Schizosaccharomyces pombe: one gene and its partner. The protein of the gene in region 1 interacts with the protein of each later gene in a pairwise test. Each region holds a gene or a part of one and is shown in the gene's direction. Other genes may lie near its edges.

Region 1 (8,250 bases):
GAGTTTGGCTTTTTTGTCTTTATATGTATTTTATAAGTTATTTTGATTTTATCTGCTGCTGGTCATATTTATTTATTTTTATATAGCAGCATATATGTTTTTAATAAAGCATCTCTCTTTTGATAATTACGCATCCTAAATGCTTTTTTGGAAGATATTGTACATTCTTTCGATAATTTACCATTTTTCCACTCATGCTCTTAAACGTTCGAATAAATATTATAAATTCAGTTAGTAAATCACGTACAAATGCACACAGTTACTGTAGTTTAATAATAATTTTTTGTTTACAAGTTTAGTGGATCCTAACGATAATTCTTTATAACACGCCAAATGAGTCACCTAAAACTGTAACTTCATTTTTGCCAAGCACCAAATACAAGTGAATTTGGGTATTTGAAATAGAATGTCGCTTGGAGGTCCTCAAATTCCTGTCATTGGTAAGTTTGTATGCAGATGAAAGTATCTCTAATCGTTTGCAGTACTGAAGGAAGGTACGGATGATTCCCAAGGACGGGGTCAACTGCTTTCGAACATCAATGCTTGTGTCGCTGTACAAGACACGATCCGAACCACTCTCGGTCCATTGGGCGCTGATAAGTTAATGGTTGACGATAGAGGAGAAGTTGTAATTTCAAATGATGGCGCAACTATTATGAAACTCTTGGACATTGTCCATCCTGCTGCAAAAACGCTAGTTGATATTGCCAGAGCCCAAGATGCGGAAGTCGGTGATGGTACTACTTCGGTCGTTGTATTCGCTGGCGAATTATTGAGAGAAGCGAGAACATTTGTTGAAGATGGAGTTAGTTCACATCTTATTATAAGAGGTTATCGTAAAGCTGCCCAGTTGGCTGTGAATAAGATTAAAGAGATTGCTATTCACTTGGATTTATCGGACGAAGGGTAAGACTTTTAATTTATAGAATTTTTATCTGGGCATTGCTTAACTAGCTTGCTTAGAATAAGTTTTGTAAAGTTTATTATTGGTGCTTTTCGCTATACTTTTTTTATTACTTATTAGAAGGATTTTTAGTTATTTTATATTTGTTCAGTTTACTAATACTTTACAGAAAATTACGAGATCTGTTAACAAAATGCGCATCTACTGCAATGAACTCAAAGCTTATTCGTTCGAATTCTACTTTTTTTACAAAGATGGTAGTTGATGCTGTTTTGACATTAGATCAAGAAGACTTGAATGAAAACATGATTGGTATTAAAAAAGTCCCTGGAGGAGCAATGGAGGATTCACTTCTTGTTAAGGGCGTTGCATTTAAAAAGACATTTTCGTATGCTGGTTTTGAACAACAGCCAAAATTCTTCAAGAATCCCAAAATTCTTTGTTTGGACGTTGAGTTGGAATTAAAGGCCGAGAAAGACAATGCTGAAGTTCGCGTTGATAAAGTTCAAGAATACCAGAATATCGTCGATGCTGAATGGCGTATCATTTTTTCCAAACTTGAAGCGATTGTCGCTACTGGTGCGAAAGTTGTTTTGTCAAAATTGCCCATCGGTGATTTGGCCACCCAATATTTCGCGGATCGTGACATTTTTTGTGCTGGAAGGGTTGCTGCAGATGATTTAAATCGTGTGGTACAAGCAGTTGGCGGCTCCATCCAGTCTACCTGCTCAAATATTGAGGAGAAGCACCTAGGTACTTGTGATACTTTTGAGGAGCGTCAAATCGGTGGTGATCGTTTCAATCTATTTGAAGGTTGTCCCAAGGCCAAGACTTGCACTCTTATTCTTCGTGGCGGTGCTGATCAGTTTATTGCAGAGGTGGAACGCTCGTTACATGATGCTATTATGATTGTTAAACATGCGTTAAAAAATAACTTAGTAGTCGCTGGCGGTGGTGCTTGTGAGATGGAGTTATCTAAATATCTCCGTGATTATTCTCTTACTATATCTGGTAAACAACAGAATTTTATAGCTGCCTTTGCTCGCTCGTTGGAAGTAATCCCTCGTCAGCTGTGTGATAATGCAGGATTCGATTCAACAAATATTTTGAATAAACTCCGTATGCAACATGCCAAGGGTGAAATGTGGGCTGGTGTAGATATGGATAGCGAAGGGGTCGCAAACAATTTTGAGAAGTTTGTTTGGGAGCCTAGCACCGTCAAATCAAATGCCATATTATCAGCAACTGAGGCAGCTACTCTAATTCTGTCCGTTGACGAGACTATTAAAAATGAACCTTCACAGCAACCTCAAGCTCCACAGGGTGCGTTACCTCCTGGCGCTGCTAATAGGATTATGCGTGGTAGAGGTCGAGGAATGCCCCGCTAATAAATTTTCTAGGATTGTATTCTATCTAGATAAAATCAATTAAATCACTTTTTGTTTTGGTTGGACAATTCGTTTTGAATTTCTACCTATAAACAGGGCGTAATGTACTTATTGGTTCTAAATTAGCTATTTTATCTTTATGAGCGCTAGCTACGACTTACAATATTGTTCTGCATCGCGGATTATTTTCTTGTCACTTCACTCACTTTTGCGATATTATATGAACAGTGATTACTAAAAGTTACTAAATTGTTTCATAATTTATAAGGATTTATATGTGATACTTTGATACCTTCCAAATATCTTTTTTTAAGTTCGAAAACTTATAGTAGTATACTGGTATGAAATGGTAAACAGAACATATATTGCTTCATTTCTATCGTTATTTTCAATTGTTACAGTACGTTAAACATATTTCAGGAAATCGCTGTGTATCCATATCCGACGCTAGCGAAACAAACGAGTATGAAACCTTCACATATCTCAAGTGTTATTTTTTATCCATTGTGGTTGTTAATTTAATTTATCACGCGTCATTTATGAACTATTATACATAGGGAAGGAGAATTTGAATGGAGACTAATTTCGAAGATTCAAAGTCGTTGGATGAGCCTGTTCTTCATGACATTGCAATCGCGCTGCTTAAAAATGATTATTGGAGCCTTTATTTGTCCCCAGAACAAAAAAGGAAGTATATTTCTATACTAAATGACACTCTTCTATGGAACCGATTCATTAATGTAATAGAATGGGATAAGTTGTGCGATGAAAAAGACTCGAATGGCAGTAACGATGATGAGGAAGACGATTTAGATATTACTACTTTGTTTCGCTGTCGTTGTATGATATTTGACGCTAAAATAAATCCAGCTTTATTTGATTTAAGTTCCACAAGTTCTGGATCTATTGAGCATGTTGATCATCAAAACATATCCTTAGAAGCTTCGTTGGCCGAGGAAGAAGAAAGAAAGAAGGGAGATGCCAAAAAGTCTGAAGCAACTGGAAGACAACTATTTGATGATGATGATTTTGATGAATCTGATGCCGAAGACTCGTCTAAAGCTACCATTACTCTGGATCTTCAAAAGGATAAATCATTACGAAAAAGCATTATAGATTTGAAATCTGTCGATATAGATGATATGGGTAAGTCATCCCTTAAGTATTCTTATATACTAACATTTTAGATACTTCTGGTTTTGCAGCCATCGAATCAAATAAGGCACTCAGCAATATTAGTTTCAACTATGTGTACTATACTTTAGAAAATGACTCTGAAAATATCAATGAAGTGAAAAAATTTGAAGATGAGGAAGACACATCAACCCCTAATACATCCAGCTTTCAAAACAATTCATCCTCTCTTGATTTATCTGATAATTTATCGGTACGTTATGAAACTTATCAGTTATTTTAATTCCTTTTAATTAACAAAATTTAGCTTAATTCAAAGTTTGGATCACTTACCTCGTCATTTAAGGTATACTTTTAATCACTTTCTAATCTTGTTGTCAACCAAAACTAATACTTAGTATCTACTGCAATATTTGGAGGGAAATAGAAGTAAAATAAATGCCACCGATGCTGATGTGAAGCAATTGTTATCCGATGTTAAAAAAAATAAATCAAAATGGGTATTTAAGTTTTATTTTTTTGCTTGTATTAATGTTTTCTAGGCGAATGATCAAAGAATTGGTCAAGAAGAGCTTTATGAAGCAGCAGAAAAAGTGGTCCTGGAACTTAGATCATATACGGAGCATTCTTTGGCTTTTCTAACCAAGGTCAGCAAAAGAGATGCACCTGATTATTATACTGGTAAGAGTGATTCTAATAACTCTAAAATTCTCATTAACATTTTGTAGTAATTAAGGAGCCGATGGACCTTGGTACCATTTTAAGGAACTTAAAAAATTTACATTATAATAGCAAAAAAGAATTCGTTCATGATTTAATGCTAATTTGGTCGAACTGCTTTTTGTATAATTCACATCCCGACCACCCTTTGCGCGTACATGCCCAGTTTATGAAAGACAAGTCTTTGGAATTAATAAACCTCATTCCTGATATAGTAATACAATCTCGTAAGGATTACGATGATAGTTTAATTGAAGCAGAGCTTGAAAGCGATGAAGAATCAACAGCGGAGACATCAAAACATGTCACTTCTAAAAAGACATCTTCTAGGGGCGGACAAACGCAACAAGCTGTTGAAGTTCATACTGATGCAAATAGCCCCGAAGAAAACAATACTCCTGTTACAAAGAAAGAAGTTGAGACCTCTAAACCTCCTGCTGTTAGCGGTTCAACACCTCCTGTCAATGAAGCGGCCGTTATAGAGAGTTCTAACACTTTAGAAAAAGAACCTTTGTCTGACGTTGCTACTGAATATTGGAAAATCAAAACAAAGGATATTCGTGAAAGCCATATCTTAAATAATCGGCGGATTTTAAAAAGTTTACAATTTATTGAGACTGAACTACCTATGATTCGGAAGCCAACAGCAATGTCAGCTTTTATAGATCGAGAAGTTGCTTATGGAAGTATAGATTGTTTACCTATGGATAAAGGTGATTTTGAACCAATAATGAAATTAGATACTACCCCATTACTTGAGTATGATGTGGGTTCAGGCGTTCCGATGACCGCTGGTAGCGTCTTGGAGACTGAAAGTGAAGAAGACTTATACTTTAGGGACTACTCTCTTTTTGAAATTAATCGCAACACACCTGGTGTACCTTCGTTGATGTACAAAAATATTGCTAAAATGCAAGAAATTCGGAAATTATGTAATAAAATCCAAACAGTTCGCCAGTTACAGCTTCCTCAGCCATTTTATTATGAACATCATAAAAGTCATGTCCCGTTTGCTAACAATGAACCCATCCTTTTGGATATCCCACAAAATTACGATAACATGTCCTCCTTTAAACCATTGGCGCACGATGTATTAAAAAAGCTTTGTACCATTATATTATTCCATGCTGGATTTGAGTCGTTTCAAATGGGAGCACTGGATGCTTTGACCGAAATAGCGGCTGATTACATGGCAAAAATGGGTGCTGTCATGGACCAGTATCTCATTTATGGGAAAGACAAATCTCAACAGGTATTTAATTACGTTATGCAGTTATATTGACCAATTTAGGAAATTGTTGGACAAACCCTAGGGGAATTAGGTGTTGACGATGTGAATGATTTAATTTCATATGTGTATCATGATGTAGAGCGCCAAAGCGTGAAGTTGCTAGAAATACATCAGCGTCTTCAAAGGCATTTTGTTGAGTTATTGGTATGCGAATTTCCTTATTAAGTAGTGTTACTAACCGGATTAGCGTCCTGCACTTTCTGAGCGCAATGATGAAGAAGCGATATTTAACCAAAATGGAGAGTCGTTTGTAACGGGAAATTTTTCGTATGAGACTGGTGATGATTTCTTTGGTCTACGGGAACTTGGTTTAGATAGAGAACTTGGCTTAGATTCACTATCGGTTCCATTGCATTTATTACAAAGCAGATTGAGGTCGAATATGAGTTGGCAACCCGAAGCGTATGTTTATAATATCTTTGAAAGATTTGATACTAATTCATTCAGAACGATAAAGGGTGACCAAGAGTACGCTCCACCTCCAAAATATCCTCCCATCACCGCCGAAAGTATTTCTAACGAAATCGGGTTGATTCAAGGATTTTTAAAGAAGAATCTAGAGGAATTCGGTTTGGATGAGTTGTTGGAAGATGAAGACATAAGGCCAAGGAGCAAACCTCCGCGACCGCGTCTACCTCCGAACGGAAAGATTACCACTGGGAGAAAGCGAATTGCTTCGTCAGTTTTTTTAAATCAATCCTTGAGAAAAAAGCGCTGCCTAAAGGAGAATGAGCAAGGTACTGAGGTAACTACTCTTCCTGAAGAATAGGCCATATGTATTTATTTATAACGTCAAAAACAACTAGTATATAGATGTGTATCAACCACAATGGAGACATAACTTTTAAAACATAATTTTTACTTTAAAAAAGTTTAAAGTTTCTTTTAGTAATAATTATAATGGTTCTAGTTTTGGTTTGGCTTTATGTCTGATGTGTTCTTTAGTAATTATTAATGTCTGAAAAATCGGGGTCCGAATGGCAATTTGAATTTGCAAAATAAAGATATAATATCACTAACATATAACTATTTATTAATTACTCTAGCAACACATTTAACCTAATTATGAGTGCATTGTCCGAAATATTAAGTTACCTAATTATTTCATTTGAGACGAGTTTTACCTTTCACCTTGAAGTATCACATACTGAAATGGGAAAGCGCGAGAACGCTCATAACAGCAGTGAGCGACCTTTTAAAAAGGAAAGGAATCTTTATCAAACAAAGCTAACTATTAAGTATAGTTTAAGTACAAAAGAACAGGGATTGAAAAAAATGAAAGTGGTGTTTTAGTTACTGTTCCTCGCGGTAAAGAAAGACAATCATCGTCTGAGATTCTTGATGTTTTTACTCAGGTATGCAAGACATTTGTCAGGTTAAGGATGCGTAAACTGATGATTAATAGCATATAGCTACTCTTTGGCCAGAAACTCAATCTAGTGATCAAGAAAACGAAGAAGAAGGCGAGGAATTAGAAGATGCAGTTGCTAAGGAGATTAATAGTCTCCAAAAAAAGAACAAAAAAGAACTGTTAACCCCAATTATGCTAGATATGCCTTGTGGTAGGTGCATAAACAGTATAATTTTAGAAGTTTAAGATGTTTATTCGTATTTGAATTATTATGACCGTTTATTAATTTTTTGAAGTTTACTTTGTAAAAACAAGGCCACCAATTGATCCAGTGCGTCTTGTAGAGTTTACTTGTGAAGTTGGGAAAACCAAAAAAATGACTCGATATACACAACGATTGATACCGATTGTAAGAACAACTGGCGTTTCCCTGGATGATCTCGAGGAGCTTGCTAAAAGTCTGATTGACCCGTTATTTCATGAAGGCCAGGAAGGGATTAAGGTAAGTTAGCAATAATATATGGCTTTAGCATACAATAGGCTAACTCCAGGAGTTCGCTGTTCAAGCCAATATCCGAAATCATACAGTCCTAAAAAAAGATGATATATATCGCACTGTTGCTAGAATCGTTGGAAAGCAACATATGGTAGATTTGAAGAACTTTAAATTGCTTATTTTAGTCCAAGTGATTAAGGTACGTTTCATTGCTTGCAACGAATTGCATTTAACAATCCTTTTAAATTTAGAATATAATTGGCATAAGTATTGTACAAAATTTCGAAGAGTTGAGACGCTTCAATTTGAATGAAGTATATAAACAACCGGAGAATACCAAGTCGATCCCTAATGATTCTAAGTTAGACAACTTCGATCGCGATAAGAATCAAATAATAAATGATAAGGCCGAACATGCTGAGTAAGAGAGCTCTACATATTAACCGAGGCACCGGGATCATCGTTTATGTTAGAGAATTTTAATTTGAAGGAGCGTATAAATTTCTTTCGTTAAAATTTAAAGATTTGTCATGAAATTAAAGGTTACGACAATATCAACAACGAATTATTAGGGAAAATGGGAATCTGCGCTTACAATTGAAAGCCGAACTTATTGGTCATCATACAAGTCTTCAAATAGAGAACACACGATAAAACTATATTTTGGATGTTTGATATGATTACGAACTAATTGATATTGAGTTTACAAAGTAATGTAAAATAAGCGTCTTGAAACGTTTGTGAAACGATAACTAAACGTAACATTATCTCCAAATAAAGCAAACGAATTTAGTAATAAAGCTTGATAACGTTAATTTTAACGCGTAAAGGTCCTACAGAAATCTGTAAAATGCATTTTCTTTTTCCTAAAAAAAAAAAAAGAAAACAAATTTATTGCCGTTTGTAAACAGAAACAGAACAAGAAGTGCATAAAATTCCTATGGCATAAAAGTAGAGATGGGAGGG
Region 2 (10,145 bases), on another chromosome or scaffold:
TTTGCTTTGGAGTGTTTTGTTTTAATTATAATCATTCCTTTACATTCAAAAACTTTTCCTTGTGCTATAATGGAATGTTACTCATTGGTTTTAATCGAACAAACAACCCCAACGTTGGTATTACTCGCATAGTTTAATTATAGATAATCCAGAGATTTTTTCGGTTTGCAGTATCTTAAGTTAAAAAATAAAGATTTTGTAATGTAATATTATTGAACTTTGTCAGTAACTTTTAAGTAATTATAAATTAGGTATTGTGTGGAAATAAGGAAAGGAAGGATAATTTGAGACATTTTGAGACACTTCTTCTTTGAGGGAGTTAATCTTGTTAATTAAATCAACATTGTTCACGCTTTCATTATGAAAGTTTTTAATGTACTGTTTTCTGTCTCTGGATACTTTCCAATGTTGGTGACATTGAGCTATTATGTCCAACGCATCACTTTTTGGTAAATAGTTTCCGTCAAAGAAAAATCGGTTTTTAGGCTTCCCATCAGGGATTTTGTAAATGGCAAACCAGTCTCGCGTACAAGGTAATAGCCTTGGCATCAAGTTCTGAACATCAGAAATATCTAAGAAAGTTAGCTGTCCATAATATTTCAATCATGAAAAGCAATAGGTTACACGTACCATTAAGTAGTTTGGCACGAGGGTCGTTGATATCTATGGCAAGGATTTTCCAATCTGTTTCTCCCTGATCGATAAGACCCAATGCACCGAGAACTTTTACTTGCTTGATTTGCCCAATGTAGCCGATTGAACCTCCTATCTCGCACACATCCAAGGGATCACCATCTCCTTTCATCTTCGTTCTTGAATCTATTACGTTCGGATCCTCCCATGTCTGTGGGAGCGCGCCGTAATTCCAAATGAAACCATGGTAAGGAAAGGAATTGGCAACATAACGCAGCTTTCCATTTTTTAGATCCTGCTTGATGGGATGAAAGGGAGAAGTTAACGAAATTTCACATTTTGCTTGAGTCCAACGGGGAATTTCAGTAACCTAGTTGAAAAAAATTGTTAGTGCTGTCATACTCCGCAGCGATAATGAAAAGGATATATAACTAATTGGCAACAAAAACCTCAAAATTCAATGAGTTACTATACACACCATATTAAATGTGTCCTTATCAGATGTCAATGGGACATCATGGAAGAATGAAATTGGTTTATTGTTTTTATAGCAATACACGCGAAAGTCCGGCGTATTTAGTTTTCCAGTGATTTTCGACCGAAATTGAAGAATATTTTTAGCAAGGGAAGCCATGGGAAATTTTTCTATTACCAAGCTCATCAATCAACTCTCTAGTTGAACTCACCGACTAAAGTAATACACCATCTATCATCTAAACTGTTTCTACCACATTATGAAGTATAAAGCGCTGAAGGTTGCAATCCGTTAAGGATTTAACCGTACATGTAACAACATCATTAAATATACAATCAGAGTGAAAGGGCATTTTAGGGCGGAAGAACTTGGATAAAAGTAAAACGTACGTATGGATTAGCAGGCACTGAATAGACTACAAATATCTCAATTTATTTATAAAAATCAGGAATGATATTCATTCATAATCTATCTATACATTTAGAAAAACCAAGGGGACTTTAAAATGCAATCAATTGTGATTCATTATTAATTTATAAAATAATAAACATTTAACAGACAGGATTTTCAACCATTGAACGGTACTCTTTACTCTACAGTTATCTCAGCTGAAAAGAATTTACATGCTTGAAAACTAGCAAATCCATCGTAAATTACAATGAGAAAGTATTTGGTACTAATTGTAGCTTCATTATATTGGAAATGTTTACCAGTTTGATTAGAATTTCGTAATAGTGAAACGTGGCCTTGAACAGTTTTTATCCATTAATTATACAGAAAGAATAGTGACTAAAATCGGCGTGCTTTATTTACATTCAATTTCAACTACAAAAATAAATTTTTAAAAAACATAAGGGACCAGCCGGATTTGAACCAGCGACCTGGGGATCTGCAATCCCTCACTCTAACCACTGAGCTATGACCCCTTACATTTGTAAGTAAAATAATTGTCGTATATATTTAATTAAAACCTTGCAATTCTTTTTTATGTATATAAATTGACTAATATGTCGTTTAATCTGTTTATTTTTTTTTTTTTTAGGTTTTAATGCGAGAATTTTACTTTGTGTGGTGAAAGAAAATTGCAATGAAATAACATTATTAATAAAAGTTTCTTACATGAATTAAGATTTTTTTTACTTAATAAAATATCACGAGTAACTTTTAATGCAGCATACAAATTCGTAAATTAACAGTACTAGTGTTTTTATCAATTTTAAAACGATTGCAAAAGTCATTGTTCATAATGCCATAAGTAAACTTGTGTTATAAAGTTTTTCCATTCCGTGCTGCAAGTGTTATACAATTATAATGTATAATAGGAAGTCTGATCTTGTTCGAAAACTAAGGCGTTTCTCTAGGCTTAATGATTTCTGGATTTTATTTATTAGAAAAACATTGCACACAGCTTTCTAAAGAATTGTTTTATTTTATCACTTAGTGAACTCTTAACCTCACAAAAGAGCTTACATTTTAGCCTCGATCATGAATAGTATTACGCCTACGAAATCAAAAGGAATAACGAATGCTAACAAACAGTGGTATTCGTAGTCGCTTTTCCTCATGTCAATACGAAGGCAATACTCATCCTCGAGAATCTGCGTAACATGCAGTATTTGTGTCAGAGGTGTCATTCTTTGATAAATTTTAAAGATGTTTACGATGATGACTTGTTAAAGCTAAAAAATCTTCCGAAAAGTAGATTTGTTCAAGCATCATCGTTGACAGAGATGAATGAGAGTGGGGAGAGTGATGATCAAATGAATTCTTCTTCTGAAGACTATCCAGCTCAGAGATTGCAACTTTACAAAAAAACAATAAGCGAAGGTGATTACAATTTTGATAATGTACCACCGCCCGAATTGAGGACGCCCACTTTAGATTCATTTGTTGTATTGCCAGCTGCTAAAGATGGCTATGAAGAAGAAAAGAATTCGCCTGAAGAGGTGAATGATCTTTTTAGTTGGAAAATAGAAATTTATAACAGAATATTTGATCTTTTATCCTCTAAAACCAAAGTCGATCACCCTCTTTGTGTCGAATGTGCTGAGTTATTGACTGAAGAGATGTCTAAAACATTAAGGGCCCTAAAAGAGGAAAAAAAAATGTATTTTAATTATGATAATTTCTTATCAAGTCAAACAGTGCATGAAGAAAATACTGCTGCGCTTGATTCTGAGATAGATGAATTAATGAAACAGATTAATGAGAAAGAAGAAAAGATCGAGGAAATTAGTGATGAAACAGACAAACTTCAAAAGTTGCTACGTGAATTGGACGAAGAAAAGGAAAAAGTTTATGCCGAGGAGCAAGAGTTCTACAATAATCTAAACCAATTTCAAATAAAAAAGCTGAGTTTAGAAAGACAATACGATTGTGCAAACTTGGAGTTTGAGCATAACTCTAGGAAGCTCGAGAAGCTTCAGAAAATGAATGTTTTCAGTGATATTTTTTACATTTCTCATTATTCTGAGCCGAATGGAGAGGGCTCTATTGCTACAATTAATGGCTTACGCTTGGGAAGGCTTCCAAGCCAGAAAGTTAATTGGGCTGAGATAAATGCCGCTTGGGGGATGACTGTTTTACTATTAGATGTTTTGACTGAAAAGTTAGACTTTCATTCCTCTTCCTATCAGCTGAAGCCTTTTGGCAGCCAATCTTTTATAATTCGTTTTGATCGCGATCCTAATGGAAATCAAGTTAAACCAACAAAGCTAGATCTTTTTTCTAGCGGAGAGCTCAAAATATTTATGAATCGTAGATTTGACCAAGGCATGGTGGCTTTTCTGGATTACTTACATCAATTTGGCGATTTTTGTGCTGCTAAAACACCTTCAGCGGTTTTACCCTATGCCATTGAAAATGACCGTATCGGCGGAAAATGCATACGTTTAGCATTCAATCAGGACGAGAATTGGACTCGTGCGTTGAAGTTCGTCCTAACGGATATCAAATTTTTGGAAGCTTACGTTTCTTCTCAGGACAAGCAGTCGAACTTTTAATCCTTAATTCCCATTTGCTTTTTACTTTATGACTTATTTTCAAGTATTATATTCTACAGGCTGTTCCTCATTTAATTTTCATCATGTTGTTTCACTAGACAAATTTTTATACAGTTTTTATGTTTCATGAGTTTATTTTGTTTAATTTAATGAATTAGATTATCGTTCTCAAGTATTTAAAATCATAATAATAAATGTATAATATAAAAATAGTGAAGTACACTAAAGCAAATAACAATCGTATAACCAACTCCAAGCTTCCCATATAAAAGTTTCAGCAGAATTTTGTCTTTGCCAGTAGTCAAAACTATTTAAAGTAAAGATGCCCAAGAAAGCACTTGACTCTCGTATTCCGACTCTCATAAAAAATGGGTGCCAGGTAATTCTATCAAGTTTATAAGTTACTGACAAAGATTAGGAAAAACAGCGGAGTTTTTTCGTTGTCGTAGGCGATAGAGCTCGAGATCAGGTTGTTAACTTGCATTGGCTGCTATCTCAATCCAAAGTTGCCGCTAGACCAAATGTACTTTGGATGTATAAAAAAGATTTGCTTGGTTTTACGAGGTATGAGACCCAATGATGAAAACACCCAGCTTGTTTAGAAAGAATTAAACTTTTATTAACCCATATAGCCATCGAAAGAAGAGAGAAAATAAAATTAAAAAGGAAATCAAAAGAGGAATTCGTGATCCAAATTCAGAAGACCCATTTGAGCTTTTCTGCAGTATAACTAATATCAGATATTGTTATTATAAAGAGTCCGAAAAAATTTTAGGTCAAACATATGGAATGCTTGTTTTGCAGGACTTCGAAGCATTAACTCCCAATTTGCTTGCAAGAACAATCGAAACTGTTGAAGGTGGAGGTATCGTGGTTTTATTGTTACACAAGTTAAATTCCTTAAAACAGTTGTATACAATGTCAATGGATATCCATAGTCGTTACCGTACTGAAGCCCATAGCGATGTAACTGCAAGGTTCAATGAAAGATTCATTTTATCTTTAGGAAACTGCGAAAATTGTTTAGTGATTGATGACGAACTGAATGTTCTCCCTATTTCCGGTGGTAAAAACGTAAAAGCTTTGCCACCTACTTTAGAAGAAGATAATTCCACTCAAAACAGTATTAAGGAACTACAGGAATCTTTGGGTGAAGATCATCCTGCTGGCGCCCTTGTTGGTGTTACTAAAACACTTGATCAAGCTAGGGCTGTGTTAACCTTCGTTGAATCTATCGTTGAAAAAAGTTTAAAAGGAACAGTCTCTTTAACAGCAGGTCGTGGTAGAGGTAAATCCGCTGCTTTAGGCCTTGCTATTGCCGCTGCTATAGCTCACGGCTACTCCAATATTTTTATTACATCGCCTAGTCCTGAAAACTTAAAAACTTTATTTGAATTTATTTTTAAAGGATTTGATGCTTTAAACTATGAGGAACACGTTGATTACGATATTATTCAATCAACGAATCCAGCCTACCACAATGCCATAGTGCGAGTAAATATCTTCCGTGATCATCGCCAAACAATTCAATATATTAGTCCCGAGGATTCAAATGTTTTGGGTCAAGCTGAACTTGTTGTTATTGATGAAGCTGCAGCCATTCCTTTACCATTAGTTCGAAAGCTTATTGGCCCTTATTTGGTATTTATGGCATCTACAATTAACGGTTATGAGGGAACTGGTAGATCTTTATCATTAAAACTCTTGCAACAGCTTCGTGAGCAATCCAGAATTTATTCAGGTAGCGGAAATAATAAGTCTGATTCGCAATCACATATTTCCGGCCGTACACTGAAAGAGATTTCTTTAGACGAACCTATAAGGTATGCAATGGGGGATCGTATTGAGCTTTGGTTGAACAAATTATTATGTTTAGATGCAGCAAGTTATGTTTCACGGATGGCGACTCAGGGTTTTCCTCATCCTTCAGAATGTTCTTTGTACAGAGTGAGTCGTGATACCTTATTTTCGTATCACCCTATTTCTGAAGCTTTTTTGCAAAGAATGATGTCGTTATATGTTGCCAGCCATTACAAAAATTCGCCGAATGACCTTCAACTTATGTCAGATGCTCCTGCGCATCAGTTGTTTGTTCTGCTTCCTCCTGTAGATTTAAAGAATCCAAAACTCCCTGACCCAATTTGTGTCATTCAATTAGCACTGGAGGGTTCCATTTCCAGAGAAAGCATTATGAACAGTTTAAGTCGGGGACAAAGAGCTGGAGGTGACTTGATCCCATGGCTAATTTCTCAGCAGTTTCAAGACGAGAATTTTGCGGCTTTAGGTGGTGCTCGTATTGTTCGTATTGCTGTATCTCCTGAACATGTTAAAATGGGCTACGGAACTAGAGCCATGCAATTACTACATGAATATTTTGAAGGAAAGTTTATAAGCGCATCTGAGGAATTTAAAGCTGTTAAACATTCTCTTAAGCGTATTGGGGACGAAGAGATTGAGAATACCGCTTTGCAAACTGAAAAAATTCATGTGAGAGATGCAAAAACCATGCCACCTTTGCTTTTGAAGCTTTCAGAACTTCAACCAGAGCCTTTACACTATGTTGGTGTTTCGTATGGTCTAACACCGTCATTGCAAAAATTCTGGAAACGAGAGGGTTATTGTCCTTTGTACTTAAGGCAGACTGCAAATGATCTAACGGGCGAGCATACCTGTGTAATGTTGAGAGTCCTTGAAGGCCGTGATAGTGAATGGCTTGGAGCATTCGCTCAAAATTTTTATCGTCGATTCCTCAGCTTACTTGGTTACCAGTTCAGAGAATTTGCTGCGATTACTGCACTCAGTGTATTAGACGCATGTAACAATGGCACCAAATATGTGGTTAATAGCACATCTAAATTAACCAACGAAGAAATTAACAACGTTTTTGAATCATACGATTTGAAGCGCTTAGAGTCTTATTCTAATAATTTGCTCGATTACCATGTTATTGTTGATTTGCTTCCAAAGTTGGCCCATCTTTACTTCAGCGGTAAATTCCCTGATTCTGTTAAGCTGTCTCCAGTTCAGCAATCTGTATTATTAGCTTTGGGATTGCAGTATAAGACTATCGATACACTTGAAAAGGAGTTCAACTTACCCTCAAACCAATTATTGGCGATGTTAGTCAAGTTGTCCAAGAAAATTATGAAGTGTATAGATGAAATTGAAACGAAGGACATCGAAGAAGAATTAGGTTCGAATAAGAAAACGGAAAGTAGTAATTCTAAACTTCCTGAGTTTACTCCTCTCCAGCAATCCTTGGAGGAAGAGCTACAGGAAGGAGCAGATGAGGCTATGCTTGCTTTACGTGAAAAGCAAAGAGAGTTGATCAATGCTATAGATTTGGAAAAATATGCCATTCGTGGAAACGAAGAGGATTGGAAGGCTGCAGAAAATCAAATCCAAAAGACAAATGGAAAAGGCGCTAGGGTGGTCAGCATTAAAGGGGAAAAGAGAAAAAATAATTCTTTGGACGCTTCAGATAAAAAAACAAAAGAAAAGCCTTCTTCCAAGAAGAAATTTAGGAAATAGGTATTAGTTACGCGTGTTTTGTTTTAAACTGGTGAATGGTTTAGGTTTTTATGTGGGAAAATAAATTTATTAGAATAGTCGATACCCTGATATGATACTTTGCACAGAAAGTACGAGATAATTAACTAAAATTAATTCAGATGTGTATGCGGCTTCAAATTTACTCAACAAGTAAATGTTGTATTTCGCTAGTATTAAATTCACGGGCTTGATACCTGAAGTTTGATCGAAAATAAAGTAGAATATAAATCGTGGGCAACAAAATTTAAGAAATTTAATTTTTCATATTTTGTGGAATTATGTTTTAGCGTAGTATTCTATCCAGCCTAAATTAATATACTCTCGGTTTCTCTTCTAAAGCTAAGGTAGTTGCGCTCCTTAAGCAGCTAAACACCTGAGTCGAAAGCGAAACTTGATCAAAACACAAATTAAACAATAAGAGATTAAGTGAAATAGATTATAGAAAAGAGAGGGTTTTCATGAAGAGAAAAGATAATAAAGAATTAATTTGCATACCAAGCTCTTCACCTCCTTCAACTCCTATACGCGAAGAAAATTATTATTTGCTTACGAGCTCTCCCATTGAATGTAGTCCTATTCAACAATTAGACCTGTCAGGAAGTTTCAAAAATTATTCAACTACCTCCTCAAGGGCTAACGGGAAAAAATTTGGGCAGTTGGCTATGCAATCTCGTATTTTTTTTGACACAACCGATCATAAAAAGTATGTTGAGAGCAGCTACGCGGCGTACGATCCTCACGATCAGCCTCCTGAACGCGATGTGAGTTTAAAAGAATCTTCGAACAAAATAAACCCCTCAAACTTTTTTGACAGCGAACAAATTACGAAAATTAATGCTGTAAAAAAACGATTTCCAGCCTTAGATTCAGAAATGATAATTGCAACATTAGAAAAATTCAACTGGAGGGAAAACATAACTATCCATAAGCTTACGTTTCAGAAGTTGCTAGGACGAGGTAACTCGACAATCAACAAGTCAGCCCAAAAGCTGAACAACCAGCCCATTGAAAAGTCCTCGGTAGACAAGGAGAACGCAAAAAGGAAACGTTATGTAGAAGAAGGAACTAAACAAGGGCAAAAGAAAAAGCCGCTTCGTGTTATTGAACTTTCAGATGAAGAAACGAATGAAGATGACTTGTTAGGCCAATCACCTACAGCGTGTACTACAGATGCTAACATCGATAATTCTATTCCCGAAAATTCTGATAAAATAGAGGAAGTAAGCATCGAAAGTTCAGGACCTTCAGAAGTTGAGGATGAAATGTCTGAATATGATGTTCGAGTTTTAAACTTTTTAAATGAATCTACACTTCAAGAAATAGTAGAAGTTTCCGGTTGTGAATCAAAAGTGGTGGAATATTTTATTTCTAAACGACCATTTCCTTCTTTAGAAAAAGCAGAGGCACTATGCCAACGAAATGCGCACGCAGCCACAGGTAAACGAAAGAAATCAGATGGCCGCAACGTTGGAAGAAAATTAGTTAATTCAACTTATGAAGTACTTCAGGGATTCGATGCTGTTGACTCTCTGATTGCTAAATGCGAAAGGTACGGGGCTATGATATCCAATACTATGCGATCTTGGCACAATTTGTTTGATGATAAAAAAATGGAACAGTTTCTTAATACTTCTACAGGGTCTATCAGTTACGAATACAATAGTCAACAACCATCTTCAATCGCATCTGGTATAACTTTGAAAAGTTATCAGATTGTTGGACTCAATTGGTTGTGTTTGATGTACAAAGCAAAATTGTCAGGGATTTTAGCTGATGAAATGGGTCTAGGAAAAACATGTCAAGTGATTTCATTTCTAGCTTCGTTAAAGGAGAAAGGTATACAAAATCGCCACTTGGTAGTTGTTCCATCTTCTACTCTCGGAAACTGGTTGCGAGAATTCGAAAAGTTTTGCCCGTCGCTTAGAGTAGAAAGCTATTCGGGAACTCAGTCGGAAAGGATCAACAAAAGGTACTACTTAATGGATACGGATTTTGATGTTCTAGTTACTACTTACCAACTTGCATCTGGAAGTCGAGACGACAGATCATTCTTAAGGAAACAGAGATTTGATGTAAGCTTATGTTTTTTATCGGTAAACTAATCTTTTAGATTTCTATATTTGATGAAGGGCATTATTTAAAAAATAGAATGTCAGAACGATATAAACACCTGATGAATATTCCAGCGAATTTTCGGCTACTCATCACTGGGACACCGCTTCAAAATAATTTAAAGGAGTTAATTGTATGTTTGAATAACTTATTTTTACTAATTTTTGCTAGTCCCTTTTAGCCTTTATGCTACCTAAAGTATTTGACAATAATATGCAAGGCTTAGACATCATTTACAAAATAAAAACGACTTCAGATGGCGATATTGAGAGAGCTTATCTTTCTCAAGAAAGAATATCTCGTGCTAAAACAATTATGAATCCATTTATTTTAAGAAGGAGAAAAGAAAATGTACTTTCAGATTTACCTCC

What was found.
Region 2: the proteins of tan1 (region 1) and nat10 interact in a two-hybrid assay, tested with the Schizosaccharomyces pombe proteins (one study listed by BioGRID).

The regions. Positions count from the first base shown.
Region 1 is NC_003423.3:3,260,513-3,268,762, forward strand, and holds tan1 (tRNA acetyltransferase), read left to right. Parts: upstream 1-6,502; coding exon 6,503-6,574; exon of another isoform or gene 6,575-6,681; coding exon 6,682-6,792; exon of another isoform or gene 6,793-6,842; coding exon 6,843-6,999; intron 7,000-7,084; coding exon 7,085-7,290; exon of another isoform or gene 7,291-7,339; coding exon 7,340-7,483; exon of another isoform or gene 7,484-7,491; intron 7,492-7,535; coding exon 7,536-7,709; downstream 7,710-8,250. Other genes in the region: chaperonin-containing T-complex eta subunit Cct7, read left to right, coding at 407-440, 483-906, 1,074-2,292; SAGA complex bromodomain subunit Spt7, read left to right, coding at 2,865-3,438, 3,480-3,679, 3,734-3,772, 3,825-3,926, 3,969-4,107, 4,155-5,398, 5,438-5,581, 5,625-5,839 and 1 more.
Region 2 is NC_003424.3:1,413,038-1,423,182, reverse strand, and holds nat10 (rRNA/tRNA cytidine N-acetyltransferase), read left to right. Parts: upstream 1-4,406; 5' UTR 4,407-4,432; coding exon 4,433-4,489; exon of another isoform or gene 4,490-4,528; coding exon 4,529-4,674; intron 4,675-4,711; exon of another isoform or gene 4,712-4,742; coding exon 4,743-7,641; 3' UTR 7,642-7,731; downstream 7,732-10,145. Other genes in the region: ceo2 (inorganic diphosphatase), read right to left, coding at 241-572, 631-1,003, 1,112-1,267; atg6 (beclin family protein), read left to right, coding at 2,716-4,110; histone chaperone/ATP-dependent chromatin remodeller Fft1, read left to right, coding at 8,121-9,734, 9,773-9,907, 9,946-10,145. UniProt on the Schizosaccharomyces pombe protein: RNA cytidine acetyltransferase with specificity toward both 18S rRNA and tRNAs. Catalyzes the formation of N(4)-acetylcytidine (ac4C) at positions 1297 and 1815 in 18S rRNA.